4 linked regions of the Stegostoma tigrinum genome follow. The main gene of each other region encodes a partner of the protein of the gene in region 4 in a complex. Links are inferred from orthologs where the notes say so. Each region holds a gene or a part of one and is shown on either strand. Other genes may lie near its edges. The genes, in order: klhl22, kbtbd4, dyrk2 and rbx1.

Region 1 (7,971 bases), on a different chromosome or scaffold from region 4:
GGACTCTTGATATTACACTTTTAAAAGCATCCCATTTGCCAATCGTTCCTTTTCCTTCAAACCGACTCACCCAGTTGACCTCTGCCTGATCCTGCCTAATGTCCCCAAAACTGGCCCTGCTCCAGTTCTTAACCTTAACGCGTGGACCTGTCCTATCTTTTTCCATGAGTATGTTAAAACTGAAAGAGTTACGGTCACTGGACCCAAAGTGCTCTCTGACTGACACTTTAATCACTTGCCCAACCTTGTTTCCTAAGAGGAGGTCCAGTGTTGCACCCTCCGAAGTAGGGCCCTCGACATATTGATTTTGGAAACTTTCTTGGACACATTTGACAAATTCCACGCCATCAGGGCCTTGACTGGGTAACCCAGTCAATACAGAGGAAATTAAACTCTCCAGTCAATGCTACTCTGTTATTCCTGTAGGTATCTGCAATCTCTCTCCACATCTGCTCCTCCAGTACCTGCTGGCTATTTGGGGTCTGCAATACAAGTCCCAACAGAGTGACCATCTCCTTCTTGTTTCTAAGTTCTAATCATATGGCCTCATTTGATAAAAACCAAAAGAACTGCGGATGCTGTAAATCAGGAACAAAAACAAAGTTGCTGGAAAAGCTCAGCAGGTCAGGCAAAACCTGTGAAGGAAAAAAACAGTTAGCTTTTCGGGTCCGGTGACCCTTCCTCAGAACAGTGCTGAGGAAGAGTCACCAGACCCAAAATGTTAACTCTGTTTTTTTCCTTCACAGATGCTGCCAGACTTGCTGAACTTTTCCAGCAACTTTGTTTTGGGCCTCATTTGATGACTTCATAAGAATATCATCTCTAAGAACTGTTGTTATGTCCTCCCTTATCAAAACACCAACTCCCCCTCCTCACTTACTTTAGTTCTGTCACATCTGTAGTTTCTGTATCCTGGAATACTGAGCTCCCGGTTCTGCCCTTCTCTCAGCCCTGGTCCCATTATGTCTGTAACATCCCGGTCCGCTGGGGCCAATCCATGCTCTGAGTGCATCTGCCTTACCAGTCAGGCCTTGTGCGTTGAAATAAATACACTTTAAACCAGAAGTCTTTTCCTTCCCTTTCCTGCGCCCCTGGCTATCCTGAAGAGTAAACTTGCTCTCCATGGCTAATATATTTTCCCCTGATTTTTTTGCTGGCCCCTCTTCTTCAGAGTCTCATCTCCCTGCCAAACTAGTTTAAACCCTCCCCAGGTAACACAAGCAAATCTCCTTGTGAGGATATTGGACCCTCTCCAGTTCAAGTGCAACCCGTCTCCTCTACTCCAGAAGATCCAAAAACTGAAAACTCTGCCCCCCTATACCAGCTCCTCAACCACATATTCATTTGGCCTATCTCTCTATTTCTATCCCCACTGGCGCGTGGCTCTGGGAGTTATCAGAGATCACTACCCTTGAGATCCTGCTTACCTAACTCTGTATACTCGTTGCGCAGGACCCCAACCCTTTGTTTACGTATGTTATCGGTACCGATGTGCACAATGACCTCTGGCTGTTCAGCTTCCCCCTTCAGAATGTTCTGCAACCAAGCAGAGGCATCCTTGACCCTGGCATCCGGGAAACAACACACCATCCTGGTGAAACAACACACCTCTGATGAAGGGTCTAGGCCCGAAACGTCAGCTTTTGTGCTCCTGAGATGCTGCTTGGCCTGCTGTGTTCATCCAGCTCCACACTTTGTAAATGAAATGTGAGGCTGGATGAACACAGCAGGCCCAGCAGCATCTCAGGAGCACAAAAGCTGACGTTTCAGGCCTAGACCCTTCATCAGAGAGGGGGATGGGGTGAGGGCTCTGGAATAAATAGGGAGAGAAGGGAAGCGGACCGAAGATGGAGAGAAAAGAAGATAGGTGGAGAGGACAGTATAGGTGGGGAGGTAGGGAGGGGATAGGTCAGTCCAGGGAAGACAGATAGGTCAAGGAGGTGGGATGAGGTTATTAGGTAGGAGATGGAGGTGCGGCTTGGGGTGGGAGGAAGGGATGGGTCAGAGGAAGAACAGGTTAGGGAGGCAGAGACAGGTTGGACTGGTTTTGGGATGCAGTGGGTGGAGGGGAAGAGCTGGGCTGGTTGTGTTGTGCAGTGGGGGGAGGGGACGAACTGGGCTGGTTTTGGGATGCGGTGGGGGAAGGGGAGATTTTGAAGCTGGTGAAGTCCACATTGATACCATTGGGCTGCAGGGTTCCCAAGCGGAATATGAGTTGCTGTTCCTGCAACCTTCGGGTGGCATCATTGTGGCACTGCAGGAGGCCCATGATGGACATGTCAGCTAAAGAATGGGAGGGGGAGTGGAAATGGTTTGCGACTGGGAGGTGCAGTTGGTTATTGCGAACCGAGCGGAGGTGTTCTGCAAAGCGGTCCCCAAGCCTCCGCTTGGTTTCCCCAATGTAGAGAAAGCCACACCGGGTACAGTTGATGCAGTATACCACATTGGCAGATGTGCAGGTGAACCTCTGCTTAATGTGGAAAGTCACCTTGGGGCCTGGGATAGGGGTGAGGGAGGAGGTGTGGGGGCAAGTGTAGCATTTCCTGCAGTTGCAGGGGAAGGTGCCGGGTGTGGTGGGGTTGGAGGGCAGTGTGGAACGAACAAGGGAGTCACGGACAGAGTGGTCTCTCCGGAAAGCAGACAGGGGTGGGGACGGAAAAATGTCTTGGGTGGTGGGGTCAGATTGTAGATGGCGGAAGTGTCGGAGGATGATGTGTTGTATCCGGAGGTTGGTGGGGTGGTGTGTGAGAACGAGGGGGATCCTCTTTGGGCGGTTGTGGTGGGGGCAGGGTGTGAGGGATGTGTTGCGGGAAATGCGGGAGACGCGGTCAAGGGCGTTCTCAACCACTGTGGGGGGAAAGTTGCGGTCCTTGAAGAACTTGGACATCTGGGATGTGCGGGAGTGGAATGCCTCATCGTGGGAGCAGATGCGGCGGAGGCAGAGGAATTGGGAATAGGGGATGGAATTTTTGCAGGAGGGTGGGTGGGAGGAGGTGTATTCTAGGTAGCTGTGGGAGTCGGTGGGCTTGAAATGGACATCAGTTACAAGCTGGTTGCCTGAGACGGAGACTGAGAGATCCAGGAAGGTGAGGGATGTGCTGGAGATGTCCAGGAAGGTGAGGGATGTGCTGGAGATGTCCAGGAAGGTGTCTCTTCTGAAGCCACAGAATCTCCTGTCTGTCTTCCTCACAACTAAGTCTCCTATCGGTATCGCTCTGCCTGACTGCACCCTTTCCCTCTGAGCCTCAAAGCCGGTCACAGTGCCACTGACCTGCTGGTCGCCCCTGAAAGATCATCCCACCCACAACAGTATCCAAAACGGTGTACCTGTCATTGAGGAATGACCTCAGGGGAACCGTTTACTATTTGTCTTCCCCCTTTACTTCTTCTCGTGGTCACCCAGCTCCCTGCAACCTGCGCCTTAGGAGTGACCACTTCATTATAGCTCTTATCAATGACATTCTCTGCATATTTTCAACTAAGGAGGGAGTGTAGTGTACTGCAAGATCTGGGTAGTTTGTTATACTGTTATGAAATTGGGCTGAGCACATGCTAATCATGTCTTGGAATTCCACTGTGACAAATCTCAGCCGCTTGGATTTAAGGTGAGAGGGGTAAGATTTAAAAGGGACTTAAGGGGCAACATTTTCACTCAGTGGGTGGCGCATGTATGGAATGGTGAAGGCAGGTACAACATTTATAAAACATCTGGGTGGGTACATGAATAGGAAGAGTTTAGAGGGATAAGGCCCAATGTTGGCAAATGGGACTAGCTTAATTTTGGATATCTGGTCTGCACGGACGAGTTGGACTGAAGGATCTGTTTCAGTGCTGTACAACTCTGTGACTGTAGTCAACGGCAGCATATTTCCCATGACAAATGGACTGTAATGGATTGGACTGTAATGCATATACAGCAGTATGCCATACCAATCTCACAACTGCACCATATGCCAGATCCAAACACAGCAAACACACTTCATGTGCAACATGCAGTAATAGTCATAAACGTTTTGGTTGCAAATGCAATAACAAGCATGCAATCCATCACGTCTGCATTGGTCAAGATCAATCACCTAATTATGATAATCCTATTTATGAGCACTTGGCTTGGTATGCCTTGGCATTGCCAGTGGGCATCTAAATACTTCTGAGATATCATGAAGGTTTTCTGTCTTTACCACCTTCCCAGGTAGCGAGTTCTAGATTCCCACCGTCCTCTGAGTGAAAAGATTTTTCCTCACATCGCCTCTAAACCTTCCACCCCTCATCTTAAATCTGGTTAATGGTCCCTTCATCAAGATGAAATATTGCTTCCTGTCATGTCCTTCATAATTTTGTACATTTTAATCATGTCCCTTCTCAGCTCCAAGGTCATAGCGTATTCTGGGAACTCAGTAATATGCAACATTTAAAATTTGAAAGGGAGGGAGGGAGTGCAGTAAACTTCAAGAACTGGGAAGCTGGTTAAACTGTTGTGACGCTGGGCTGAGCTCGTGCTAATCATGTCTCAGAGCAATACATAACAACACATGTGCCCTGGCGTGTTGGTCGGTGTGTTCGGGGTTCACTTCCCACAGCAGTCCTTCAGCACGAACTATCAGGCTAACCCTTCCGGGATACGGTTATGGGGATGAGGCATTGAACTCTGTGCAGCATTCCTATGGCCTGTCCAACACTTATTCCCAGGGACAACATGGTGGCTCAGTGGGTAGCGCTGCCGCCTCGCCGCGCCAGGGACTTGGGTTCGATTCCACCCTCAGGTGACTGTCTGTGTGGAGTTTGCACGTTGTCTGCGTGGGTTTCCTCCCACAGTCCAGAGATGTGCGGGTTGGGGTGGACTGGCACATGGTGCCCAGGGATGGGTGGGCTGGCCATGGGGAAACGCAGTGGGGTGGGTGGAGGGGCCTGGGTGGGAGGCTGATGTGAAGGGCCGGATGGCCTGTCCCCACACCGTAGGGGACTCTAGGATTATAACTCTCTGTCGAAGATAAGTGAAGGTGGGCGGCGTCTTTCCAACATGCCCGCAAAAACCAGCTGTGGGGAGGAGGCAGGCGCGATCGGAATGCAGCTCTTCCATGGCACCCGAGCAGGCGGATTCACACGGAGGCAACTGCATGTACGTGTGTGTGGGGAATAAATACCAGAACAGGAGCAGAGGCCGATACTGATAGCCGGCCACTCGGCCCGTCGCCCCCGTGGTGTCATTCCTCAGCAGAGGTTGCTCCCTCCTGCGTCAGCGCCGGCCGCCATTTTGTGATCGGGCGGGTACGGCGATGAGAGACAAAATGGCGGCCGGCGGGCCGGGAGGCCCAGGCTTCAGAGCCAACCTCGGGGGGCCCGGACTCTCTTCAACCAAGGTAGGCGGTACTCATTAACTCCTCACTGGATAGCCTCCCGAGCCCGTACTCCCAGCCCTGAACGCTAAGGGTCGCGTTTTCAGTTGTATATTTGCTTCCTCTCGACTACCGAAGGGGCTTTCTGCAGTCTTTGTTATTGTTTCAGCGCACACCGCCACCTCAACAACAACAAAATAATAAATAACACCAGCACTCTGTTAGTTTTAGTTATATTTTTCCAATCAGCCAGCTCAGTGATGCTGTCACCCAGTTCTGGGGCAGGTGGGACTTGAACCTGGGTCTCCTGGTCTACACGCAAGGACACTACCACAACAGCCCTTGCCATTTATTTTCTTTTTAAATCTTATTTCTCAACAATCTGTTCAGAGAGGGTATCATCCACCTCTGGGGTAGGTGGGACTTGAACCTGGGTCACTTGGTCTATTACAAAAGCCCTTATCACTGATTTTAGATGCTGCATCGAGTTACATCTTACATGAGACCTACTTAAATACTCAAATCTGACTTCTTCCCCTCCCTCTCCTTCCTCTTTTTTTTAGCTTCTCTAATTCCTTTTAACCCTTCCTGGTTCCTTAAATCCACCTATTAGAATTGATCCTCGCATTCCCAAACCACTCCCAAGGTCCAAAATTCCTTCAGTTCCCATTGTTCCTCCCATCCCTTCACCTTTCCAAGTCCTACTGCCACTCTGATTCATATGTAATCTGCATATTTCCATGATCCTCCTGAACCCCCTCCCACATTATCTGTATGAGGCATGGGGTTCAAGGTCCGCATGCATACCGATGAGAATCCTCCACCGCTCATGTTGTCAGATAGACTCTGATATCATTGTGCATGAACAAAACGTAAGGAGGTGAGTTGGGGCCATGTTCCGTAAACATTCCACAATGTTGTGATACCCTCCTACATTAGTCAAGACATAGTTCAGGTGAGATGCAGTCTTATGGGACAGCAGAAAAACCATTACACAAACCATACTTTTAAAAAATCTGGAACATTTTGGTCCAATAATCCTCTGGTGATAGAAACCAGTCCAGGAAAACACGCTGATTCTGATGTATTTGTTTGTGTCTCCCTGTCTCTTCTGTGGTGTAACTTCCTGCACAAACGGGAACTGATCCAGCTTCCTCAATCTTGAATTTACACTGAATAAGTTTTCAGTAGGTTACGATCATGTAACTTGTTCCATTGCTCTGCAATTCCATCAGCAGTTCAACCTGTTGTCTTGATGTTCCAAGTAGCCTGCACACTTAATCTGCCCCTGCCATCCAATTTGTGCATTGATCAGCTACCCATGGTTGTGAAGGAGATGGGAAGTGGAAGCCAGGCAGATTCCAGACTCCACAAACATGTCTCCAAGGAGGAATACCATCCTCTTGATCTGAGAAGGTGGAACAGGATGGGGTTCTCATTGAGCCCTCATAGCTCAATTGCTAACTCCATGCCCCCACCCTCCCTACTCACTTGTTAAATGTCCAACATCTACTGAATCAATGACACATTGGCAAGTCTTGATAATTTTTAAAAAATGCCTAGGTAAATGTCACTATAAGCAAAGAAACTTTGGAAACCTACTGAGATAACCAGGTGTAAATCTGGATGAACACAGTAGGCCAAGCAGCATCAGAGGAGCAAGAAAGCAGGAAATGTCAGCTTTCCTGTTCCTCTGATGCTGCTTGGCCTGCTGTGTTCATCCAGCTCTACACCTTGTTATCTCAGATTCTCCAGCATCGGCAGTTCCTGCTATCTTTGAAAACACACTGTTGAAATAAAGCAACAGGCAAATAAAGCCTTACAACTTCAATTAAAAAAGTTAGTCCATCACAAACATTTATAGTATCAGTGACGTCAGGCTACTTCATACTTTTTCATCTTGTGTCAGTAATAACACAATCACACAAGCATTCAAAAAAATAATAACTTTTTACAAGGTAAATTAAACCACCTAAACAAAGCTACCACTCCTCTCTGTGGCTGCTTACACATTGGCTGTTGAGTTAAGTGGCTCCATCATTTTTGGAGCTTTGTCAATCATTCATAATGAGGCTTTATATAGAATGTTTTTACATATAGCCTTATTATGAACGATTGACTAAGATTCAAAATTGACTCAGCAATGTTTAACAACTACAGAGGGAAGCAGTAGCTTTGTTTAAATGACTTAATTAGAACCTGTAGTAACCCGATCTTTGAAGATCCTTAGTACCTACGCGTTTGGTAACATAAAATTAAAAGTGGAGAATAGCTTTTTGACATCGATACTATGAATAACTAATTGTGATTGCCTCTTACTTTTGCATAAAGCTGTCATTGTCATTTAAGAGAAATGTCGAATGGCTGTATTTTTTTTTGGAGTGTGTGGGTGTGAATGGGGACCAAGTTTCACTCATGGTTCATGACTTCTCTATGGTGCCATAAACCAAGTCTTCTAACAGATTTGATGCTGTGTGTTTGGAATGCTGAATGAAATTCCTGCAGTGGATGGTGGGAAGTGGGTGTGCGGGTTTACCCCATATTCTTATCTTCCACTGGTTGGAAGCAGGAATTCTGAAATCAAATCCGACTACCATTTCTAAAGGCCCCTGCACCATGAAAGTCCAGCCCCAAG
Region 2 (7,877 bases), on a different chromosome or scaffold from region 4:
ACAGAGTTGAGAGAGCATGGAATGTGTTGCCAGCAGCAGTTGTGGAAGCAAGATCACTGGGGACATTTAAGAGACTGCTGGACATGCATATGGTCACAGAAATTTGAGGGGGCATACATGAGGATCAATGGTCGGCACAACATTGTGGGCTGAAGGGCCTGTTCTGTGCTGTTTTGCTCTATGTTCTGTGTTCTAATAACATGAAAGGGAACAAAAATAGTTGGAGTGCAAGACTTGTGAGTCAGATTGGAAACAAAGAGGGTGATATGTGTTTATAGGCACAGGACAAGGTTAGAGTACTTGATGAAAACTTTGTATCAGTGTCTACTGAAGAAGAGGATGCTGACAAAATATAGGTAGAAGCAGTGTATGACAGAATAACGGAAAGGCTGTCTGCGCTTCAGACATTTAAGTCACTTGGTTCTTGTGGTTAGCACCCAAGATTGTTAAAGAAAATGGGGAAATAGTTGATGGGTTTGCCACAATCTTTCACTCTTCTCCAGATCAGGGAGAATGGAGGTGGCAGAAGACAAAGGGCAGATGTGACAACCTTATTCAAGGAAGGGTGAAAAGGACATTTCTAACTGATACTAACTGGTGAGACATTAGTGATGGATAAGTTTTGAAAATCAAAAAATTAGCAAGCATTGGAGATGCCTGAGTTAATTAAGAACAGCCATTTACAGGTTTATGGAAAGTGAATTGTGCATGTCTAATCTAACTGAATTATGTGATGACATAAAACAGAAGGTCCAAGGGAATGTGGTTTTTCTTGTCTACATTGATTTTAAGAATGTTTGACAAACTACTACAGAGCTGGTTAGCAAAAATCAGGCTCAGGAAGAGGAAGGCCAGTGTCATCTTAGATCAAAAGAAATAAAATTACTTACAGATAGAAAACAAACAGTGAGCCATAGTAAATAGTAGTGATTCAGACTGGAGGGTGGCTAGTAGTATTTCCTAAAGTTCTTTATTAAGGCTTTTTTACATATTTACCAATTTTGCCCATGATATATTCAGAGAAGAGGCAAACAGTGAGGTAATATAAACTGCCTCAAATACAACAAAGATCGTCTCACAGAATGGGCAGAACCTGGAATTGAATGGTCTTGTTGCCAGTTTTGCAGGGTATTTATCAATAACTTAGATCAATAGGGTATTCCAAATCTAAGTTTGATGATTATGTTAGGTGGCACAGTAAGCACTGGAGACAGAAGTGGGATATTGCAAGGAGACTTTGATAGTTTTACCCATAAAACCATGACAAATACAGTTTTACGTGGGAAAGTGACAGGTCACCCAGAGTAATTACAATGGAAGAATCACTACTTTCCAAGTGAGTAGTGGCAGAGCATGGAGATTCAAGTTCTCATGAATGAAAATCACAAACTGCTGGAGAGGGTTGAAAACTCATTTCAGAACCTAATGGAATATTAAACTTTATCTTAAGAAATACGGAATGCAAATGAATGGTGATTACGTTAATGTTACATAAAGCTCTTTACAAAGATACCATTGTAAAATGGATACATTCACAATGGAGGTGGGTGCACAATAGATTTCTCAGGATAATACCAGCGTTGAGAGGACTGAATGCTTTGCCCAGGGTTCAATTTCAATGAGTACAGAAGATCTACAGATGATTTAAATGAAACATGCAAAATGATTAAAGGCTTTAATAATGGGGAAAGTTCATCAAAACATGGAATAATTAGAGCTGAAAGGAATGGGGAAATCTAAAAACTCACTGAAATGAACATTAACACTAGGTCAAGTAAAATTACAATAATCAACAGGCATCAGATACAAAGCAGCCAAGAATCAGTTGAACAAGCAGGACAATACTTCATAATTTTTACTCAAAGTCTGACATACATCAACGAGATGGGTACCATCAGCAAATCAGATGCAGTTAAGCACTAAGACTTCATTTTACTAAGCTTCACCAGGAAAACATAGCAGGGGGCAACACATTGCCAAAAACTGCAATTACCAGCTATTCTGTAGTTCTAATATTATAGTAATAATTCATTAAATAAAATGAAGTATAACATTTAGCAACCACATGACATCCTAAATTACTTCACAATTAAACACTTAGAAAGCATTGTATTATAGGCAAATACAGAAGGCAATTTTGCAGGGTCTCACAACCAGCAATTATATTAACTCAGATCCTCCACTTTAGCAAAGTTGATTGCATGAGAAATAATTCAGCCATTTGAACTTTTCGGAACCATATTACACTGAAACTGAACCGGATCAGCTATAATCATACTTTGGTGACAATAGCAGGTTGGAGGCTGGGAATTCTGCAGCAAATAAATCACATCTCAACCACCCTAATGTCTGTTCAAAATCTACAAGGAACAACTTAAGAGTATGAGGGAATACTATCCATTGCCTGGACAAGTGCAGCTCCAACATGCTCAACAGCAAAACAGCATCCCAGTTGATCAGCACCCGATCTACCATCTTCAATTATCACGCCCTACATCATAGATGCACAGCTGGCAGAATTGTGCACTAACTGCAAGATTCACTGCTGCACCTCACCAAGCCTCTTTTATCAGTGCTTTTCAAGCCCAGAAACTTATACATAAAGTGCGGGACAGAATATATATGGGAACCTCACTACCTGCAAGTTCCTCTTCCCTCCCACCATCCTAACTTGGGAATTATATCACCATTCCTTCCCTCTGCTGGGTCATAATCTGGAAATTCCCTTCCTAACAGCATTGTGGATACACCTGTTATTTCACAACTAGAACAGCCCAAAATAGCTCACCATCATATTCTCAAGGGCAATTTTGGATTGGGCACAGGTGCTGGCCTAGCTAACGATGCCTCACATTCCATGTACAAATAAATTTTTAAAATCCCTGCTCTCACACAGTAGAAAATCCAGATATTGCAATGTAGACAAGAACATTCTGAACAGCTGAACAATGAAAATAACAAACTATTACTGCTAACATTTCTATCAGTTCAATCATGTCTGACATACACTTTCAACACCACTTTCTCACCCATGTTGCACGCTCATTATTCTGAAAGATTTAATCACTCCAAGATTCACAGCTTTTTGGGAAGATGCAGAAACAGTGACTCCCACTAGTAGATGCAATTTATTTTACAAAGTGTCAGTTTAATCTAACAAAGTATTTTGCCACATATCAATGTTCCCCTTTAGTTTTCAGAAGGTATTACAATTCTCCAGGATCAAGTCCCTGTTATTCTTGAGGCTTTGAATAGTTGAGTCAAACCCTCACCTTCAGCCCTGATGTTTCTCATTGCAGTGATTCTGAAATGTTAAGGGTTAATATCTGTTCTGCTCTCCAAGTGAAACATCTGTAAGCAACTTGATGCCTCATAAGCACCCCTGTTTCGCAGACAAATTACGGTAATCTAATTATGCTCTGTTCTCTGTAAAGATTGAACTAAGGCTAAAAAGACAAGCAAGTGTCCAGTCTCATACATTGTTTTTGGGCAGCTGACCTCTGGTTTACTGTCAGATGATTAAGTTACATACTATCGCTGTTGCTAGGCATGTAACTACGAGGGAGGAGAAAAAAACTGTATCTTGCATGCATGTCTGACTGTGCTAAAAAAGCCTGTATAAAGGGAGGAAAGTTCCCTTAATAGACAGCATCGCTTGACACGACTATGGAAGCCCTGCAAAGTTTGTTAAGAAATCCTCCAAAAGCTTGTACTTGCTTAAATAAACTGTGGCTGTGCACAGAAGTCGGCGCATTGCATTTGTATCAAGTGTGTAGGAATCTCCTAAAAGGGAACCCAACAATCCAAAGAAAACTCCAGACTCTTCATTCTCCCTACCTCACCCCCACACCCTCTGCACAGAAGCAACTCTACTCCAGCAAGAAAGTCCACAACCAGCACACTAGCAGCACCCACAAGCCTCCTAGCAATGCCATAACCCCACACACACTCAGGGATCTCACAGACCAAACTGCTACAGCAGCTCACTGCCTCCTAAACAGCTGCAGTACCCTCTTCTTCACATCCCTTTCCTCAGCTGCAGTGCACACTTTCGCCACCAGCACCCAAAACCCCCAACAGCTGCAGCACCCTCTTGTGCACCCCATCAACACCCTCTATGCTCCCCCTCTCCACCAGCTTCAACACCCTCTTCTGCTACACCCATTGCACCCTCCTCTCTGCTTGCCCCTGCCTGCATCTCCACCCTCTTACCCACACTAGTTGTATGATGCACCCACTTCTGTCTCCCCTCCCACCAGCTGCAGTATCCTGCCCTCTCTCCACCACCACCCCCACCCCGACACTGGCTGCAGCACCTGACCCAACCAGCAACACACTGCTCCCCACCAGCTGCAGCACATTCCCTATTTCGCCCCAAGCTGCATTTCCCCTACCTCCCCCCCTCAACTACTTGCAACACCCTTTGCCCTCTTTCCCCCATTCACTGGCTACAGCATCCTGTTCTCCTCGTCTCACACTTTTCCTTTACACCCCATATCCACAGTGCCCTGTCTCAACAGCCCACTTCCAGTCTCTAGGCCTGCACCCGGTTTATCGGCAGTGGCCACCTCCAGGTGCCGGCTGCGCACGAAGGTCAAACAGCGGGGACACGGATTCTCCTTCCTCCCCGAATCCTTCATCAGTCGTCGTCGTCGTCGTCGTCGTCGTCGTCGTCGCCGCCTCCTCCTCCTCCTCCTCCTCCTCTCCCGGGGACCCTACACCGCCTGCTGCGCCCTCAGTCGTCGCCGCCACTCACCCACATTCCGGAAGGTTCTCAACCATCCGGCCCGAGCCAGACCCACCAGCCTGGCCGCCATACCAACGGAACCGGAACTACCGGTCCGCCCCCCCCAATCCTTTCCTTCCTCGCCGCCGTGTTCACCTTCACTCTTCCCCCCTACCCCCATCCCCTTTCGGACGTTGTGGCCGCTGCTCCTGATAATTAAAGGTAAAAACAAAACACAAAGAGAGCTTTGGACGCGTTTGGAAATGCGATTCCGCTCGGTTAATAAATAGAGGTGAATTCGAGGGAATTTCCTATTCCTGAGGCCTGGTTGTTGATCTTCTTTCTCCCGGAGCCGCAGGGCCTGAATAATACACTTTCCTGTTGAATAATTTCACCCTTTTCAGAATAAATTTCTTCATTTAATAATTCCATCTTCCTGTTTCATAACATTCTTTTCTGCTTAATAACTTCAACTTTCTGTGTAATAGTACTATTTTCTGTCTAATTTCCACTTTAATAATTTCTCCCTTTGTTCCATTTTTTTAACTCAGTGAATCATTTCCCTTTCCTATTTAATAGTTCATTTCTGCTTAACAAGTTCACCTTTCTATTTAATAATACAACCTTCTGTTTCACAATTTCCATTTCATTTAATTGTTCACATTTCTGCTTATAATTGCACCCTTACTTTTTTTGGCAATCTTATTTTATAAAATTTGTTCATGTGACATGGACGTTACTGCCGAGGCCAGAATTTATTGCTCATCACTAATTTATTTCAAAATGCGGTGTTGGGTCACCTTCTTGAATCACTGCAGTCTGTGTGTTGTAGGCATATCCACTGTCCTATTAGGAAGGGTGTTCCAGGATTTTGATCCTGTAAGCGAAGGAAAGTTTCAAATCAGAATCGTGTACAGCTTGGAAGGGAAATTTCAACTGATTTTGCCCTCCTAGGTGGTAGAGGCCATAGCTATGGAGTTTGCTGTTGAATGAGCCTTGACGAATTACTGCAGTGCATTTTACAGATGGTACGCAGTGCTGTCACTGTACATTGATGAGGAAGTGAGTGAATGTCATTGTGGTCAATAGGGTACAGTCGGTTGGCTACTTTGCCTTGAATGGTGTTGAGCCTGGGAATACCACTTATCCATTTTACTCCTCCACACTCGTGACTTGTACCTCATTAGTTATGAACAGGCATTTGGGAATCGTGACAAGAGATATTGTGGAACTCCTAACCTCTGACCAGTTTTTGTAGCCACAGTTTATGTATCTAGGTTCAGCTTCTGATCAATTTTAACTTCCAGTATGTTGATAATGCAGTTTGCCATATTTCTGCTTAATAGAGTCATAGAGATATACATCACAGAAACAGACCCTTTGGCCCAATATATCCATACCAACCAGATATCCCAGATAAATCTTCTCCCATTTGCCAGCATTTGGCCCAGATCCATCTAAAGCCCTCCCATTCCCGTACCCATCCAGATGCCTTTTAAATGTTGTAATTGTACCAGCCTCCTCCGTTTGCACTGGCAGTGCATTCCATACACACACCACTCTCTGTGAAAAAGTTGTCCACTAGTTTTGGACTCCCCACCCTGAGGTGAAGACCTTGTCTATTTACCCTCTCTGTACCCTTCATGATTTTATAAAGCTCTATAAGGTAACCCTTCAGCCTCTGACGCTCCAGGGAAAATAGCCCCAGCTTCTTCAGCCTCTCCCTATAACTCAAACCCTCCAAATCTGGCAACATCCTTGTAAATCTTTTTTGAACCCTTTCAGGTTTCACAACGTCCTTCCTATAGCAAGGAGACCACAAGTGAATGCAGTATTCCAAAAGTGGCCTAACCAATGTCCTGTACAACAATGTCATGTTGTAGCTGTACAACATGACCTAACTCCTATAGTCATTGCACTGACCATAAAGGCAAGCATACTAAATGCCTTCTTCACTATCCTATCTACCTGCAACTCCACTTTCAAGGAACTATGAGCCTGCATTCCAAGGTCTGTTTGTTCAACAACACTCCCCAGGACCTTACCATTAGTGCATAAGTCCTGCCCTGATTTGCCTTTCCAAAATGCAACACCTCACATTTAACTAAGTTAAACTCCATTTGCCACACCTCAGCCCATTGACCCATCTGATCAAGGTCCCGTTGCACTCTGAGGAAATTCTCCACTATCCACAACACATCCAATTTTGGTGTCATCTGCAAACTTACTAACCATGTATTATCTATGTCTTGTTAAATATTGAATTTTTTTGCTGTATTTTTCCCAACGATACTGCCTCAGGAAATACGGATAATTGTTAAAAGATACTCATTGCCATCCCAGGCTTCGGGTAAGGTTCCCACATAATCAGTTAAAATCCCATTCAGTGGTTTTTCAGAAGCTTGAATCAAGTTGTTTTAAGTTCTGGTTGGGCTTTGCCCATTACCTTACACGTTGCAGTTAAAATCGGATCATCCATGATCTTACTGAAAGGTGCAGCTGCTGAAAAGACCAAGTGGCTTATTCTTGTTCCTCTATTGCATGTTCATGTATTCAAGCAAAATATTGCTGCTTTATATTATTGTTGATGTACAATATTCACATTTGTGCTTTGTTAAAGTGGAGATCAGCAAAAGGAATGACTGCCTTTAAGTTTCTATTGTTGTAATAACATAGAGAAGTTTATGGATACAAAATACTTAAAAAAAAATTTTTACATTTTGAAAATTTAAACAGTTTATTTTTTAATGTAATTATTCCTATAGGTCCTGTTTTACCACTTGCTAAAATGGAGCCAAATAGTGATGCAGGAGGTGCAGCCATCGCTGGAACAACAGATGAAAGTTATTTCATGAGCTATACCTTCACAGATAGATTCCATTCTGTGCGAGTTGCCCAGAGTATTATGGATCTGTGCCTTGAAGACCGGCTCTTTGCAGATGTCACCATCTCTGTGGAAGGCAAAGAATTCCAGCTCCACCGACTCGTGCTTTCAGCTCAGAGCTGCTTCTTCCGTTCCATGTTCACCTCTAATTTAAAAGAAGCTCATAATGATGTTATAGAACTCAAAGATGTGAATGCAAGTGTTTTCCAGCTTCTTGTGGACTATATTTACCGGGGCACTGTAAAACTGAGAGTGGAGGACCTCCAG
Region 3 (7,683 bases), on a different chromosome or scaffold from region 4:
ATAGAATAATTAACCACTGAAAGCAATTATTAATCTGCAATCAAAACAAGGGTTTCAAATATTAGAGCAAAGTTCAAATCGCTATTGAATTTTAATCAAATCTTTAAATTAGACGATTGCTTTGAAATTTATAAGTAAGGTGTGACAGCAATTTTGTTTCAAAAGTCAAGTATTTTAAGCTCACCACTAACAACTCTCTTTGTCTTCTTCGAAGCTCACTGAGGTAAGGGAGTTGTGGTTGCCAGTTTAAAAACTAATTTATTGTAATTTTCAGATTAAATGTTGTTCATCATAACTTTTCTTAAATACAGAAATATGTAAGTGAAAATAAATTACTTTCCATTTCTATCAATTTTGATCATGTGAGCATCTGTGGTAGTTTGACAGCTGTGAGTTCTGTAATATGACTGCTGGAAGGTATTAAAGGTGTTTAACATGAGTTAGATTGATAATCTCCACTGATCTCCACAAAAAATGTACCTAGTAAAACAACTGAAGAATCATTGACGGATCAAATTTCCATTTTCAAATATATATGCACATTCCATGCATTTTAGTACACAATTGAATAACATGAGAGGCACTTATTGATGGCATACTGTATGTCACAGTGGTGATGCTGAGATGTGGTGATCACATTAGATGGAACAATCATAGGACTTTTTCACATTTCAGGAAATCACATTAAGATAGACCCAATGAAATCCTTACAGTTCAAGTTTTGTGTTTCTAGTTTAATGCATTTGTAGATTGCTCTTGAACATTCAAGAACTTGATTTTTCAATTTATTTGATTTTTAATACATGGAAACAGAAATGTATATTTAAATGCAATCCCACTGCATTCTCAGCCTGCTTATCACCAGAACATGTAAAATGAAGCTTTATGCATGAGAGTTTTTAAAAAGCCAAGAAAATTTATTTTACTTATACTTGCTCAATGGATTTTCTTCTACCAGGAAGATTTTAGTTTTGGAATTCCCTTGGATTTCAAAGGGACAGAGCATCTACCTGTTTCTTTCCAGTTCAATTGCATAACGTGTACAGTAAATCCTGTGTATCCATAAAATTCCCCTATCCTTGTCAAAAAAAGTAACAACAAAAATCAACATCTGCAGGCAAAAATTACATATCTGTGATAATATTAACACTATTTTTAACAATTTCCATGCTCGCAAATTTTGTCATTTGTCCTTAGGAACAGAATCCTTGCAGGCAAGGAGGAATGACTGCATATCTTTTAAATGGAAACTATCAGAAGTGATTAAAAGAGATAACAAAGTGTGGAGCTGGATGAACATGGCCTGCTCAATTGAAGTCTCTATGGTTCATAGGAATTGACATGTATTCACAAACGGTTGACTGCGGGTAATGAATAGTGATCACATTTAATGATGTAACATCAGGGAGTACATTTATTTTTCAGATGGGGCCATCCTTCATGGTAAGTCAATTGTACATTTGCCAGGTTGAGCTGGATGAACACAGCAGGCCAAGCAGCATCTCAGGAGCACAAAAGCTGACGTTTCAGGCCTAGGCCCTTCATCAGAGATTCACACTTTGTCATCTCTGATTCTCCAGCATCTGCAGTTCCCATTATCTCTGTTCATCTGCCACCTATCCATTCACTCTTCCAACTTATTTATGTCTTTTGGAGATCTACATTACTGTCTCACAGTTTACAAACTTCCAAGCTTTTTATTACCTGCAAATTTTGAAATTATTCCCTGTACTTCAAGGTTTATATCATTGATATATATCTGGAAAAGCACGGCGCCCAACACTGATTTCTGTGGAGCTCACCTACAAACTTGTTTTTAACCTATTAACCATTACTGATTGTTTTCCTCCCACTCAGCCTGTTTTGTAAGAATGTTGCTGCAATTTCTTTAATTCCATGAGTTCTAGCATTGCTCCTAAATCTGTGTGCAGCACTGTATCAAATGCCTTTGGAAGTCCATGTACACCACATCAACAGCATTTTCCTGGTTAACCCACTCTGTTACCCCATCAAAAGCTCCAGTAAGTTAGTTGATTTACTGATAAGTAATCTATGCCTGCTTTCCTAAAGTTGTCTATGTGGTGACTAATTATTTACTTTTCTGCTGATTGTAAGTTATTGATGGTGCTATGTTCAAAGTGGCTCAGTGTCTAAATCTTAAATGTTGAACTTGCCTATTATGGAGCAGGCTTTTTTTTCAGCTGTCGACTAAATTTAATGGAATTTCTCAAACTGGACTAAAGGCTGTGCTTGAAGCCAGTCATTTTGCATATAGCTGACAGATGTATTACAGTGCATGTAATTAAAAATAAACCTATTGGTGTAGATGTTTGGAACAATACCATAATCTATCGTGAGGTATAGCTTCACTCAGTGCCACTAACATAGATATGGGGGATGAAAAATTGGACAAGTGTGTTTTGTACTCAGGTTTTTTCTACCTGTAACTTTCCAAACAGCTGAACTTACTCCACTAGCATCTTCTTATATTTCAGGAGAGGGTCTTACTAAAAAGTTGAAGATTCACGTGGTTCATTTTGTAGCACTTCCACAGAATAGAAATGCATTAAAAGAAAGATGCATGTGAAAAGGTGCTTATCTAATGCCAGCTCTCACGGGAGTTGCATGAACTACAAAACTTCTGTTACAAGATAATGTATGGCTTAGAAAGGGTGGACGCTGGGAAGCTGTTTCCATTAGGTAGGCGGGGAGACTAGGATCCGTGGGCACAGCCTTAGAATTAGAGGGGGTAAATTTAAAACAGAAATGAGGAGACATTTCTTCAGCTGGAGAGTGGTGGGCCTGTGGAATTCATTGTCGTGGAGCGCAGTGGAGGCCAGGACGTTAAATGTCGTCTTCAAGGCAGAGATCGATAGATTCTTGCTCTCACAAGGAATCAAGGTTTACGGGGAAAGTACAGGGAAGTGGAGCTGAAATGGCCATCAGCCATGATTTAAATGGCAGAGTGGACTTGATGGGCTGAATAGCCTTACTTCCACTGCTATGTCTTATGGTCTTATGTGTAAGCATCACAACCCATTTATGAGGAGGACATAAACCTCAAGCCATGACTGGTATCACAGAGACCCTCAGGATCAGGAGTTAGCTAACACATGACTGAGGATTAGGGAGACAAAGGATGCATGCCCAGGGATAAGATGGTCAAGGAACAGGGACAAAAGGACCAAATCATGAGTCCAGGATAATGGGTGCAGAAGTCAAAGTGGGTGGGATTGGGAGTCCTTAAGTAGGGGGGTGGGCTGAGTTTAGGAACAGGAGTTGAGAATTTAGCTCTTGAACCTTTTCTACTATGGCTGATCTGTGTCTTAACTGTGTTTAGACACTTGCTCAATATCCCTCGACACCCTTACTCAATAAGAACCCCGTTTTATCAGTATTAAAAATTTCAATTGGCCCAGTTTTGGCCGAAGAAATTTCAAGACTGCAACTACGAATTCATTCTTAACGATTTTCCTGCTCCCTGCACTCAGACACCTTGCCATCTGCAGATTTGCTTGCAACTTTTTTCTTGGATTAATTTCACCCTGGTCCAGCATGCTACTATTGCTGTTTGACTGCTGTGTCTATGTCATGTCTTGGGGTGTTGTCCTTGCACTTTCTGAGCTTACATTGCTTAGCAAAACAAAAGTTAAAATTGTCTGGCTGCATGCTGCAATTGGCAGAAAATATTCTGGACTGTCTTCAAAATTTGAGACAGTCATTGACATTGGTAAGTATCTCGCTTGACTAATGTACAGTGATGTACCAATTTATGAGTTTTAGAGATCATTCTAAAAACTAATTGTAATAATTAACTTTGTGGAAAGTAAAATTATTAACTTAGATGTTTGCAAATACACTTAATTCTATGTATTGAAACTATGTTTTAGAATACGTATTGTTTTAAAATAGAACATTGCTGTACTTTGATGCATTATAAATATCCTTCCACTGCAGTATATTTAATGATTTATAAGTTTAAAGCTCAAAAATACTGTAATAGCAACAAATTTAAATGGAGCTCACCACAATAATGACAATACCAACATTAATTTGGGAAATTAATTTTATACCTGTTAGTGAAATATATTAACAATCTGTGTTTACATCTTGGTTGAACATTGTAAGGAGCATAGTTCAGAAATTGCGGGGTTTATCTTTGGACTGCGAGATATTTCACTTTTTCAGGCGTTTTAAAATAACAACGTCCAGCCTTTTTTTGTAAAGGTGACGCCTTTCGTTGGACCACCAGTTGGATCCCCATATTAGGTGAGGACAGTATTATCACATTCATATGGATGAACTCAGGGTCATTTAGGTGAGCCTAGCATTTTCTGTTCTTGCCTCCTATGCCTGTGTGATTTCACTGTAAGCTCTTGTCCACTTTCTTACTAATCCATTCCGTCCATTGTGTGATGTTTTCTTATTGCATTTTTAACCCCAGAAGTTGCCGTTTCTTTATCGCTGTTTCTCTCTCTCTCTCTCTCTCTCTGCTACAGACTGAACTCGCCAACAAGCATTTCTCCCAATTTCCTTAAAGAACGGGTTACCCGTTCCCTTTGCTGTGCCCGAGGCAACGTGAATGACGTCGGTGTTTTGCTTGGTTTTTCGGGTGTCGGCTGTTTTGAAATGACTCTGCGAGTATCTCCCTGTCTCTAATGTGTATGTACGGAGTTTCACTTAGCAACCGGACGGCCAGTGTTACAACCCGAATCAATCAGCATTACACACAGCTACCGTCTTACTGCACCATTCCAGTGTAGAACACAAAGCCGCTCCCAGACAGCGGCGTGCGGGGAGTTGCTCGTTGTGTGTGTCTGTTGATAGTTTTTTAAAAAAATATATCGATGAAGTTGTGCATGATGTTGTCAGGGCAGCAGTGGTTGAGTTCGGAGCAGTTTGTAGACTGTACGGACGTAGGTGACTCTTCCACTACAGCCTGGAGTTGAGAGAAGGATCAGCTAGAGATTTTTTCCCTGTGTGTGTGTGTGTGTGTGTGTGTGTCTGACTGAGCGGCCATGTTAACGAGAAAACCCTCCTCGACTGCTGCCTATCCGACGGGTAAGGAGATCCACAGGGAAAGGGCCAACACCCAGCCAGCTGCATTGAACCAGACCCCACGCCGTGTGTTTTCACTCCAACTAATTTCCAGCTCCGTGCACCTTTCATATCGTTGGAAGGGGAACTTTTTTTCCACACACACCCTTCATGCTTTGACATTTGGGGTTGGATGGGGGGGGGGCGGGGTGGTCTGGCCAGAGAGAGGGTGAGAACTTCCTACTAATGGAAAGTGTGCTCGCCTCGGCGAATGAGGATGAGGGTTTGGAGAATGATCAACTCACTTTGGTAGTTTTGAAAGGTCATTAATTTATAATAGTGTATGGCGGAGGGGGCGGACCTACTACAGTTGTCCCCCGGGGCTAGGGTGGGTTTCGGGGGATAAAGGATTTAGCTTTATGGTTTCCTAAAAGGTGTGTGTGTTGTGTGAACATTTGTTGAGGTGAGGTTGGTGTGTTTAGTTTGCTTTAGTGGAACAAATGGGGATTGTGTATTGTGTTGTCGATCGTTCCCTGGAGGGTGTGGGGTCACGGCTTTCCTGCCGTTGATTATAAGCGCTTGATATCTTCTGTTTACTTTAACGCCGAGCGCTCTTATTTTCTCACTCGTTTTGAACATCTGTGGCGCTTTTTTTTGTGTGTATGTGTATGTCTGTGACAGGTAGGGCCGCTGACAGCACGGTGTTACAGCCCGATTACAGGACGGGAACCGATTGCTCGGAGAGGCAGAGAGGCGGAGCAGGATCTCGGCTGGGAGACCCGCCATCGCCCCTAGGATTGCCGCCACTGAAGAGTCATACGGTAAGAAAGACAAAACCCACTAAAACATTGTGAGAATTTACCAGAGCAAACGCCTCTGGATTAACTGAACCCGCGTAACAAGAGAAAAATAATCCACCATGGAAACCACAGTGCATACCATGTCAAAGTACAGATTCAGTAGCACTTGCAACAATGAAGACTAAAGGGATGTATGTCTTCAATTCAGGTGTATCGATTGTTAAGTCACTGAAGATACACTGGAAATCTTACATTTTTCTTGCTCCACTAGTTTGATTGTGGGTGAAGGGCGTGTCAACAGTTTAGATAACAAGTATGCATATTCCTTGTTGGATAACCATAATCGCTTTTTCACTTGAGGTTTCCATACGTTGACATAATCATTTTCTAATTGCGGGTTTTGTGTTTCTCAGCCCTCACGGTTACCACATTTTGCAGGAATGCAATTTTAACAGACACACAAAGCAAGTATAGTCTAAAGTACCAGTTTATCTGTGAGGGATGTGACTGCACTGGAGAGGGTGCAGAGCTTTACCAGGATGTTGTCTGGGCCCGAGAGTTTTGGTCATGAAGAGATTGAATAGACTGGGATTGTCCTCTTGAAGCAGGGGAGACTGAAGGGCAAAGACAGAGTAAAGCATTTCCCCTTAGTGGAGGGGTCAATGACAAGATGCATAGATTTAGTGCAAAGGTCAGGAGGTTTAAAGGGAAATGAGGAGAATTGTATTTTCACCTAGAGGGTGGTGACAATGTGGAACTCAGTGCCTGTAACGATGTTAGTAACCCTTATGACATTTTAGAAATATTTAAATGTACACTTGTGAAGCTAAATATTGGATGATAGGATTAGAACAGTTAGGTGCTCGTTTTGACTGACACAGACTTGATGGGCTGAAGGGCCTTTTTGTGCTGTAGATCTCTCTGACTGGCCAACAGTCATACTAAGTTCAGACGAGGTTTCAGTTGGGGTTGAGATAGTAAACTAATTATTCTTCCCACTCCCACTCCTTCAAAACTGCTGTAATTTGGAAATAGTTTGTAAACTAGTAGGTTAAGGCTACAATATGATCTGAGTGATGTTTTTGGTACAGACCAGTTTGGATACGCTGGATATGTCGTGATCCTCAACTCTCGGAGGCCTCGGTTTTAAACTATGGTCTGATAGATCACAGGGTGGGGGCGGGGAGAAGCATGTTTGGGACTTCAAGTGAAGCTTTGTTTAAATGAAAAGCATTATCGCCTGTTTTAACATGAAAGTATTGTGCTTTTACGAGTGACTGATGCGGGAAAGCATGAATATTTCTCTCGCGGGAGTACAGAAATGTTTTGTTTGACTAAGAAATTTGCTGTTTGTTCCTAACCCGCGAAGTGCACTCGTTAAAAATTTTTCGGGGAGCGGAGAGCCGGGGGGAGGGGGGGGGGGGTGCTGATGCAGGTTGTGCAGTGATTGTTCAGTTTAGACTTAGGTTAAAACAATCTTAACAAAAACTAACGCAAAAACGCAATTTTCCACCCTACCTCCAAATATATAAAATCCACCCGTTTGGAATAAAGCGAATGTCAACAAAGGAAGCGATATGAGCATTAAAAGATTTAAATGTATTAAAATGAATTTAAAGTAGATGCCTTGGAGCCCGGGGAGATGTTACGACAAAATTTTTTTTCTTCCCACAACATTGTCCGGGCGTATTAAATACTTCATGGCTTCGCTGCATTTGCGTGGTGCATCTAAAATAGCAGTTGATCCGCACAGTGGGATGTTTATGATTTCTGATCGAGACACATTTTTAAATTGTTGTTATCCCACTATTCCAATGTTTTTAAAAGTACACAAAAATCCCATCTT
Region 4 (7,373 bases):
GACATTACTGCTAGACTCAGTACGCAACAGGTGCTGAGGAAGCCATTGAGGTAAAAACCTACCTGCCCTCATCCCTACTAAACTAGTCATTACAGATGCATCTCACCATGTCTTGGTAGGAGTAATGTACAGTCCTTGTTGAGGCTAAAGTCCCCGTTTCTCATCAACAATATCTTCACAGAATCCCTATAGTGCAGAAGGAGGCCATTTGACCCATAGAGTCTGCATTGACCCTCTAAAGAGCATCCCACCCAGATCCATCCTATCCCCATAACCCTGCATTTACTATGGCCAATCCACCTAGCCTGCACATCTTTGGGCTGTGGGAGAAACCGGAGCACCTGGCACAAACCCATGCACACAAAGGGAGAATGTGCAAACTCCACAGAGAGTCCCCCAAGACTGGAATTGAACCTGTGGTTGCTGGCGGAGTGAGGTAGCAGTGCCAAACACTGTACTGCCCTGCCTCATAGTGCAGCACTACCATCAGCTAATTGGATAGATTTCAAAGAGATCTAGCAACTCGAAACTAAGCATCCATGAGGTACTGTGTACTATCAGCAGTAGAATTACATTCCACTACAACCTCTAATCTGACAGCCTAGCGCGCTCCCATAATGAACAAACTTGCGATTGACCCTGGTTCAAACAAGAATGGAGGAGGGCATGCCAGAAGCAGTGTCAGACATACCTAAAAATGAAGTATGAACCTGGTTAAGAAACATTGGACAAAGTATTTAAATAAAAGCAAAATGCTGCAGATGCTGGAACTGAAGCAAACAGAATGCTAGAGAAACCCAAAAGGTCTGGCAGTATCTATGCAGAGAGAAACAGTTAACAATTTGAGTTCAGTATGACTTCTGAAGGACAGCCATACCAGACGTGAAATGTTAACTCTGTTGAATGTTGCTGCACTTGTCTACCATGTAGTCACTTGGAGTCATAGACATAGACAGCACAGAAACAGATCCTTTGGTCCAACTTGTCCATGCCGACCAGATATCCTATATAAATCTAGTCCCGTTTGCCAACATTTGGCCCAAATCCCTCTGAACCCTTTCTAGTGATGTACCCATCCAAATGCTTTAAATGTTGTAATCATACCAGCCTCGACCACTTCGTCTGGCCGCTCATTCCATATACACACCATTCTCTGCGTGAAACAGTTGCCCCTTAAATTCCTTTTATATCTTTCCCCTCTCAACTTAAAACTATTGCCCTCTGGTTTTGGACTCCCCCATCCCAGGGAAAATACCTATTTACGTTATCCATGCCCGTCATGGTTTTATAAACCTTTATAAAAGTCACCCCTCAGCCTCTGACTCCCCAGGGAAAATAGCCCCAGTCTCTTCAGCCTCTAGCTATAGCTCAAACCCTCCAACCCTGGCATCATCCTTGTAAATCTTTTCTGAACCCTTTCTAGTTTCACAACATACTATAGGAGGGAGACCAGAATTGCACACAACACTCCAAATGTGGCCAAACCAATGTCTTGTACAGCCACAACATGACCTCCCAACCCGTTTATTCAATGCACTGACCAATAAAAGCAAGCATACCAAACACCTTCTTCACTATCCTACCTACCTGCAACTGCACTTTCAAGGAACTATGAACCTGCACTCTAAGGTGTCTTGTTCAGCAACGCTCCCCGGGACCTTACCATTAAGTGTACAAGTCCTGACCTGATTTGCCTTTCAAAAATATAGCACCTCACATTTATCTAAATTAAACTCCATCTGCCACTCCTCAGCTCATTGGGCCCATCTGGTCAAGATCCCGTTGTACTCTAAGGTAACCTTCTTCACTGTCACTAAACCTCCAATTTTGGCATCATCTGCAAACTTACTAACCATACCTCCTACAGTAACATCCAAATCATTTGTACAAATGACAAAAACCAGTGGACCCAGCACCAATTGTTGTGGCACATCACTGGTCACAGGCCTCCAGTCTGAAAGGCAACCCTCCACCACAACCCCCTGTTTTCTACCTTTGAGCCAGTTCTGTATCCAAATAGCTAGTTCCCCCTGTATTCTATGCTATCTATCCTTACAAACCAGTCAGCTGTGAGAAACCTTGTCGAACACCATTCTGAAGTCCATATAGATCACATCCACTGTTCTGCCCTCATGAATCCTGTTACTTCTTCAAAAAACTCAAATTAGCGAGACACGATTTCCTATGTACAAAGCCATGTTAACTATCCCTAATCAGTCCTTGCCTTTCCAAATAGAAGTAAATCCTGTCCCTCAGGATCCCCTCCAACAACTTTCCCAACACCGATGTCAGGCTTCATGAGCAAAAGAACAGAGATGACACGAGGGAAGTGCACTTGTGATCTGGAAATCACTGAAAACGTGACGGAACCAGATTCAAAAGTAGCTAGATATCTGAAGGGAAAATACCTCCAGGGCCAGGGATAAAGAGCCGTGTAATAGACTGTTATTTTGAAGGACCAGTAATGACATAATAGCCAAGTGGCCTCCTTCTTTGCTATATTATTCTGTGGATCAATTTTAAAAGTAGTTATTTGGGTGAATCACTTCAAAACATTTCAATGTGAAATGGAAGAACTTTCAATGTCGATATTTTTAATCAGCATGCTCAGATTCCTCACGCTTTGCCTTCTGCCAGTCAGCCATTCCTCTGGCTCAACCAATACCTTGCCTCTAACACAATTTGGGGCGGCACGGTGGCTCAGTGGTTAGTACTGCAGCCTCACAGCGCCCTCGGGTGACTGTCTGTGTGGAGTTTGCACTTTCTCCCCGTGTCTGCGTGGGTTTCCTCCCGGGTGCTCCGGTTTCCCCCCGACAGTCCAAAGATGTGCAGGCTAGGTGGATTGGCCATGCTAAATTGCCCGTAGTGTTCAGGGTTGCGTGGGTTATAGGGAGATGTGTCTGGGTGGGATGCTTCAAGTGGCAGTATGGACTTGCTGGGCCAAAGGGCCTGTTTCCACCCAGTAGGGAATCTAATCTAAAAAAAACCATCTTGTTTCCTTAATAATGGATTCTAAAATCTTACCAATGATTGACCAGGGCTAACTGGCCTATAATTTCCAGTCTTTGGCCTCCATCCCTTCTTAACCAGGTGTTATATCAGCCATTTTCCAGTCCTCTAGGTCCCTCACTGATTCCAGTAATTCCTGAAAGATCCTCCAATGCATCCATAATCGCCTCAGCTATCTCCTCCAGACACTTGTAGTCCAACTGGTCCTGGTGATTTATCCACCTCCAGACCTTTCAGCCTTGCAAGTATGTTCTCCTAAGTGATGGCCACCACACTCATCTCTGTTCATCGACATTCTTTCAGTTCTGGTATGCTGCTGGTGAATTCCACTGTGAAGACTGATGGAAATTAGATCAGCCGTGCTAGCTAGAAGCACCAAGTGGCCTGCTCCAGCCTCCAATTCATGTGTTTTAGTCTCGCTAAGGTGTGATCAGTATCTTCTACATTGTGAAAAGTTTTGAAGTGCTAATTTCACATCTCCACCAAGTCTTGCACAAATTCCCACTTTGGTCTCCAATTGGCCCTGCTTATCTTTTTACCACTCTTCCAGTATCCATAAGTTTTATGGAAGAATTTTGCGTTCAAGCTGCCAGCATTCTATCTTTGCTTCGACTATTTGCTTTTATCAAACCCCTCGGAATATTCCACGTTCAACATGCTCAGTTGTATTCGATGAAGCACAACTGACGTCAACTCCAATAAAAATCAAATTCCACATAATTGAAACACAAAGGGATTTGATTTCCTGGTGGTGAGGATGGTAACAACAGGGCAATGATCCCCAATAACAGCGGCCATGGCCTCGTGGGGGTGAGGAAGAAATCACGGCAAACCACTACCTGCAGGTGGCGCCATGCCGAGATGGGGGCGGTGCTTTGTGTAGGCGGTCACTTCTGGGGGTGGGCTTTGTGCATCTCATCCGGGTGGTCCTACCATCGGAGGCGGTACTAGGTGACGACATAGAGAGGCGAGGCTTTACTGGGGTGACGTTACGGAAAGTGGCGTGGCTCTGTGACGCCACACGGTGATGTTTACGTGCCAGTAGGTGGGCAGGCCTTTGATGTACAGCGGGTTTGGTGGCGAAATAGCGGGAGGAGGTGGAGCTCTGCTTCGTGCAGTGGGCGTGGCCAGAAACGCGTTGCGAAGGGGCAGGACTTTTGTTTGGGTACCTCCACAAGAGAGGAAACGGAAACTCCGGGGTGTAGACGAGAACATGTGACGTAGAGGCGGAGCTTAGTGGACTCCTGGCCCCTCCATACCGGAGGAGGCGGGGCTGAGTACAGTGTTTTTGAAGTTTAGTGTTGTCGGGATCCTCGTGACGCTAAGTAGGCGGGGCGTTAACCAGTCGGCTGCGCATGTGCAAATTGAACATAGCTGATTGGTTGGCAACAGGTAGCCACCGGCTGAAGGCAGACAAAATGGCGACGGCAATGGATGTGGACGCACCAAGCTCTACCAACAGTGGCGGGAAGAAGCGCTTCGAGGTTAAGAAGGTACAGTATGCTAGGATGCAGGATACAGACTGCTTCCAACGGAGCAGGGCTGGGTATTGAAACGTGTGATGTTTCCAAATCTGGCAGTTTGAAGCGGATCGAAACACGACCGGATGTTGGCGGCTTAATTGGCAGCACCAGCTGACTAATGGTGGCCGTGAGCTAACCGTAAGAGCATTGGGCAGGTTCTTGCGCCCCTAGTGTCTCCGTGCCCCCTAAATCTCATCCCGCTCCCACCTCCTGCCATCTTAGTCTGACACGCTCGCACGCCCCCGGCCTGCCCTTCCTGAGAGGCGCAGACTGCTCGCTTGCTGCTTTGTCATTGGGCCTCTGTCACATACATGTGTTTGTTTTTAGGCCGCTGGGTGCACGTCTGTTTCTCAGGGAGACAGATGACCAGAGGAGCGGGTGTGGACTTGTTACCAGCAGCTCCTGATAGTATCTTCCAGTACGGACCCATTTTAACACTCTACAGAAACAAACAGTTCACTTCCCGCTCACATTCGTACGTGCATTTTTGGTATATTGTTTAACAATAAAAGTAAGAATTGCTTTGTAATTGAAAATAGGAATTGCTGGAAAAACTCTGGGTTTGGCAGCATCTGTGAAGAGAAAAGTTAAATGTATTGAGTCCTCAACTTTATTCCTTTATCCCAGAGAACTAAGTTAATTACAGTTTATATTAAATGATTTCAATGTATTAGAAAAAAATGAGTCCTACCCTGTGCAAGAAGTTCTTGCTTTTTTTTAAAAAAAAGCTTTTCAATGGTGCAAGTGAGTTCAGAAGTAAACTTGTCATCAGACTTGAGGGGTTGTAGCCCTTGTCCCTGCATGCATTTAACAGTAATAGAGACACTTCCATTGTTCACAAATGTTTTCACTTTTCTCAGTTATTTGAGAGAAAAACAAATATTCATTGTCAAAATGCTGTGTAAACTTAAAAGTTGTATTATAGGTTGACATGTAATTGTTACAAATACATAATAATAAATTTTATGATGTCTTTTTATAAATGTTATTTTGTGTACCTGGATCGGTGTGAAGGCCTAGTGGTATTGTTCCTAATGCTCTGGTGATTTCAGTTCAAATCCTGTCTTGGCAGGTGTGGAACTTGAATTTACTAATTAAAAATTGGAACGAGGAGTCCAATAATGACATGAAATCATTGCTGTTTGTTGGAAAAACCCATCTGGTTCATTAATTTGCTTTAGAAAAGGAAACTGCTGCCCATGTTTGGTCTGTCCTACATGTATCATCAGATCCACACCAATGTGGTTGACTCTAGGGGTGTGCAGTGATTTAACGTGAGCCAATCTGGGTCATGGATCTGGCATGTTGGCCAGAAAAGAGCAGAAATATAGACTCTAGTCTTCAGGTGACTGATGTTGGATCCCAGATTGTTCTGTAGTATCACAGTTCTGGGTTGGCTGAGACACGCCACTGTTCAGCTTGGGGGCACCCGATACCAGGGACCAGACTTTATAAATGGGAGTGCTTCTGCAAGAAACATTATATGACTGTTTGTTTGTTTGTTTCTGTGGTAAAGAAATGAAGTAGCCCATTGGCCATAGAGAGTACCAGACAATAGCAGGGTAAGGCTGGATGCTGTCTGGGATGTGATGCTGGTTGTTATCTAAGGGGAGACAGTTCTTGTGATATGATTGCTTTTGCTTTTGCTCCTCCAATTGAGGTTGTTGTTTTCAAAATAGTTTGGAACTTACTGCCCCAAAGTGTTTAAATTCCCTTGAGTTTCTCAAATTTAGGTGCAGCCTAAGCATGAACATTTGTGGTGAGTGCAGTCTTTAATGATATTTCTTCATTTGGCCCTTTATAGAAAGCTGTGCAGTTGGTCATTCAGTCTTTATCTGACATACCTGTGTTACACTTAGTGCAGTCTCGTCTGCCAGTATTTGCTTCTCACTAATTTCTCTTATTACATTATCTCATTCTGCCAGCATATTCTTTTACTCCTTTCTCCCTAAGTACCAATCCTGCTTCCCTTTAATTGCAGTACATCTAAGCTATACCTTAGTACCTTCACCCTGAATTTCTTAGTGGACATATCAATGACTGTGTTTGTTTTATGAACTGCATGGCTGCTGATGCTGCAGTGATCAGGAATGTAGTAGGTCTGGAGGTGACTACGGAAACTAGAATATGCTAAATTCAGTTTCTAATAGTTGCCAAGTTAACTCCTTTCAAGGCCTTTTAGAATGGGCAGCAAATGCCAAACTTGTTGATATTTGCATCCTAGGAATGAATTGGGAAAGGAATTTAGTAATAGATTCAGAACTTGTAAGTAGATGAAGGAAAGAAAAACTCTCTGTCTAGGTCTCTTTTTCTCTCTCTTTTCTTCTCTTCCTCCCACTCCCCCCCCCATCAGTAGGCAGTGATCCTCTTTTAAAGTGTCATAAGTATTTGAAGCTAATATCACATTCAGTTTAGAGCTTAATGTTAAATTGTTGTTCTGCTGATGTGAGTTTTTCCAGACTGTCCACTTATTTCCCACTTGGTTATGGTGTGGTTTGTCCAATATCTGCAAATAATGTGATGGTACAGAAGTCCAATGATATTTCTTTCATTTTTTTGAGGTTATTTTAAGAGTTACTTGAAAACTGAATTGAGGGATTGTGTAAGTTTTTTTTTAAACTATTTTGCGTTCAAAGTTTTGCGGTATACGAAGCATTTACAAACTTGATGGGATGATGCAGTGGAAGTGTCTCTTCAACGTCATGTCATGCTTTTATTGACATTGCACGTACACAGCACCACAAACCAGGGTCTGAAATCAGAACTAGGAAAGCATTATTCCAGTCTAAGATATTTCAAGAGCGCAGTGCGAAAGGGGGCGTGCAATTGTCCATTTACTAT

Evidence for each region.
Region 1: rbx1 (region 4) and klhl22 share a complex: the UniProt entries of both Homo sapiens proteins name them as parts of the BCR(KLHL22) E3 ubiquitin ligase complex. The link is inferred for Stegostoma tigrinum from reciprocal best matches to the Homo sapiens genes RBX1 and KLHL22.
Region 2: rbx1 (region 4) and kbtbd4 share a complex: the UniProt entries of both Homo sapiens proteins name them as parts of the BCR(KBTBD4) E3 ubiquitin ligase complex. The link is inferred for Stegostoma tigrinum from reciprocal best matches to the Homo sapiens genes RBX1 and KBTBD4.
Region 3: rbx1 (region 4) and dyrk2 share a complex: the UniProt entries of both Homo sapiens proteins name them as parts of the E3 ligase complex. The link is inferred for Stegostoma tigrinum from reciprocal best matches to the Homo sapiens genes RBX1 and DYRK2.

The regions. Positions count from the first base shown.
Region 1 is NC_081379.1:47,907,367-47,915,337, forward strand, and holds the start of klhl22 (kelch-like protein 22), read left to right. Parts: upstream 1-4,961; 5' UTR 4,962-5,360; intron 5,361-7,971. UniProt on the Homo sapiens protein: Substrate-specific adapter of a BCR (BTB-CUL3-RBX1) E3 ubiquitin ligase complex required for chromosome alignment and localization of PLK1 at kinetochores.
Region 2 is NC_081370.1:45,664,324-45,672,200, reverse strand, and holds the start of kbtbd4 (kelch repeat and BTB domain-containing protein 4), read left to right. Parts: upstream 1-4,873; 5' UTR 4,874-4,948; intron 4,949-7,491; 5' UTR 7,492-7,514; coding exon 7,515-7,877. Other genes in the region: ndufs3 (NADH dehydrogenase [ubiquinone] iron-sulfur protein 3, mitochondrial), read right to left, coding at 4,757-4,817. UniProt on the Homo sapiens protein: Substrate-specific adapter of a BCR (BTB-CUL3-RBX1) E3 ubiquitin ligase complex which targets CoREST corepressor complex components RCOR1, KDM1A/LSD1 and HDAC2 for proteasomal degradation.
Region 3 is NC_081371.1:37,909,065-37,916,747, reverse strand, and holds the start of dyrk2 (dual specificity tyrosine-phosphorylation-regulated kinase 2), read left to right. Parts: upstream 1-4,668; 5' UTR 4,669-5,018; coding exon of another isoform or gene 5,019-5,061; 5' UTR 5,062-5,283; coding exon 5,284-5,359; intron 5,360-5,405; exon of another isoform or gene 5,406-5,471; intron 5,472-5,718; coding exon 5,719-5,858; intron 5,859-7,683. UniProt on the Homo sapiens protein: Serine/threonine-protein kinase involved in the regulation of the mitotic cell cycle, cell proliferation, apoptosis, organization of the cytoskeleton and neurite outgrowth. Functions in part via its role in ubiquitin-dependent proteasomal protein degradation.
Region 4 is NC_081391.1:5,551,965-5,559,337, forward strand, and holds the start of rbx1 (E3 ubiquitin-protein ligase RBX1), read left to right. Parts: upstream 1-4,369; 5' UTR 4,370-4,427; coding exon 4,428-4,502; intron 4,503-7,373. UniProt on the Homo sapiens protein: E3 ubiquitin ligase component of multiple cullin-RING-based E3 ubiquitin-protein ligase (CRLs) complexes which mediate the ubiquitination and subsequent proteasomal degradation of target proteins, including proteins involved in cell cycle progression, signal transduction, transcription and transcription-coupled nucleotide excision repair.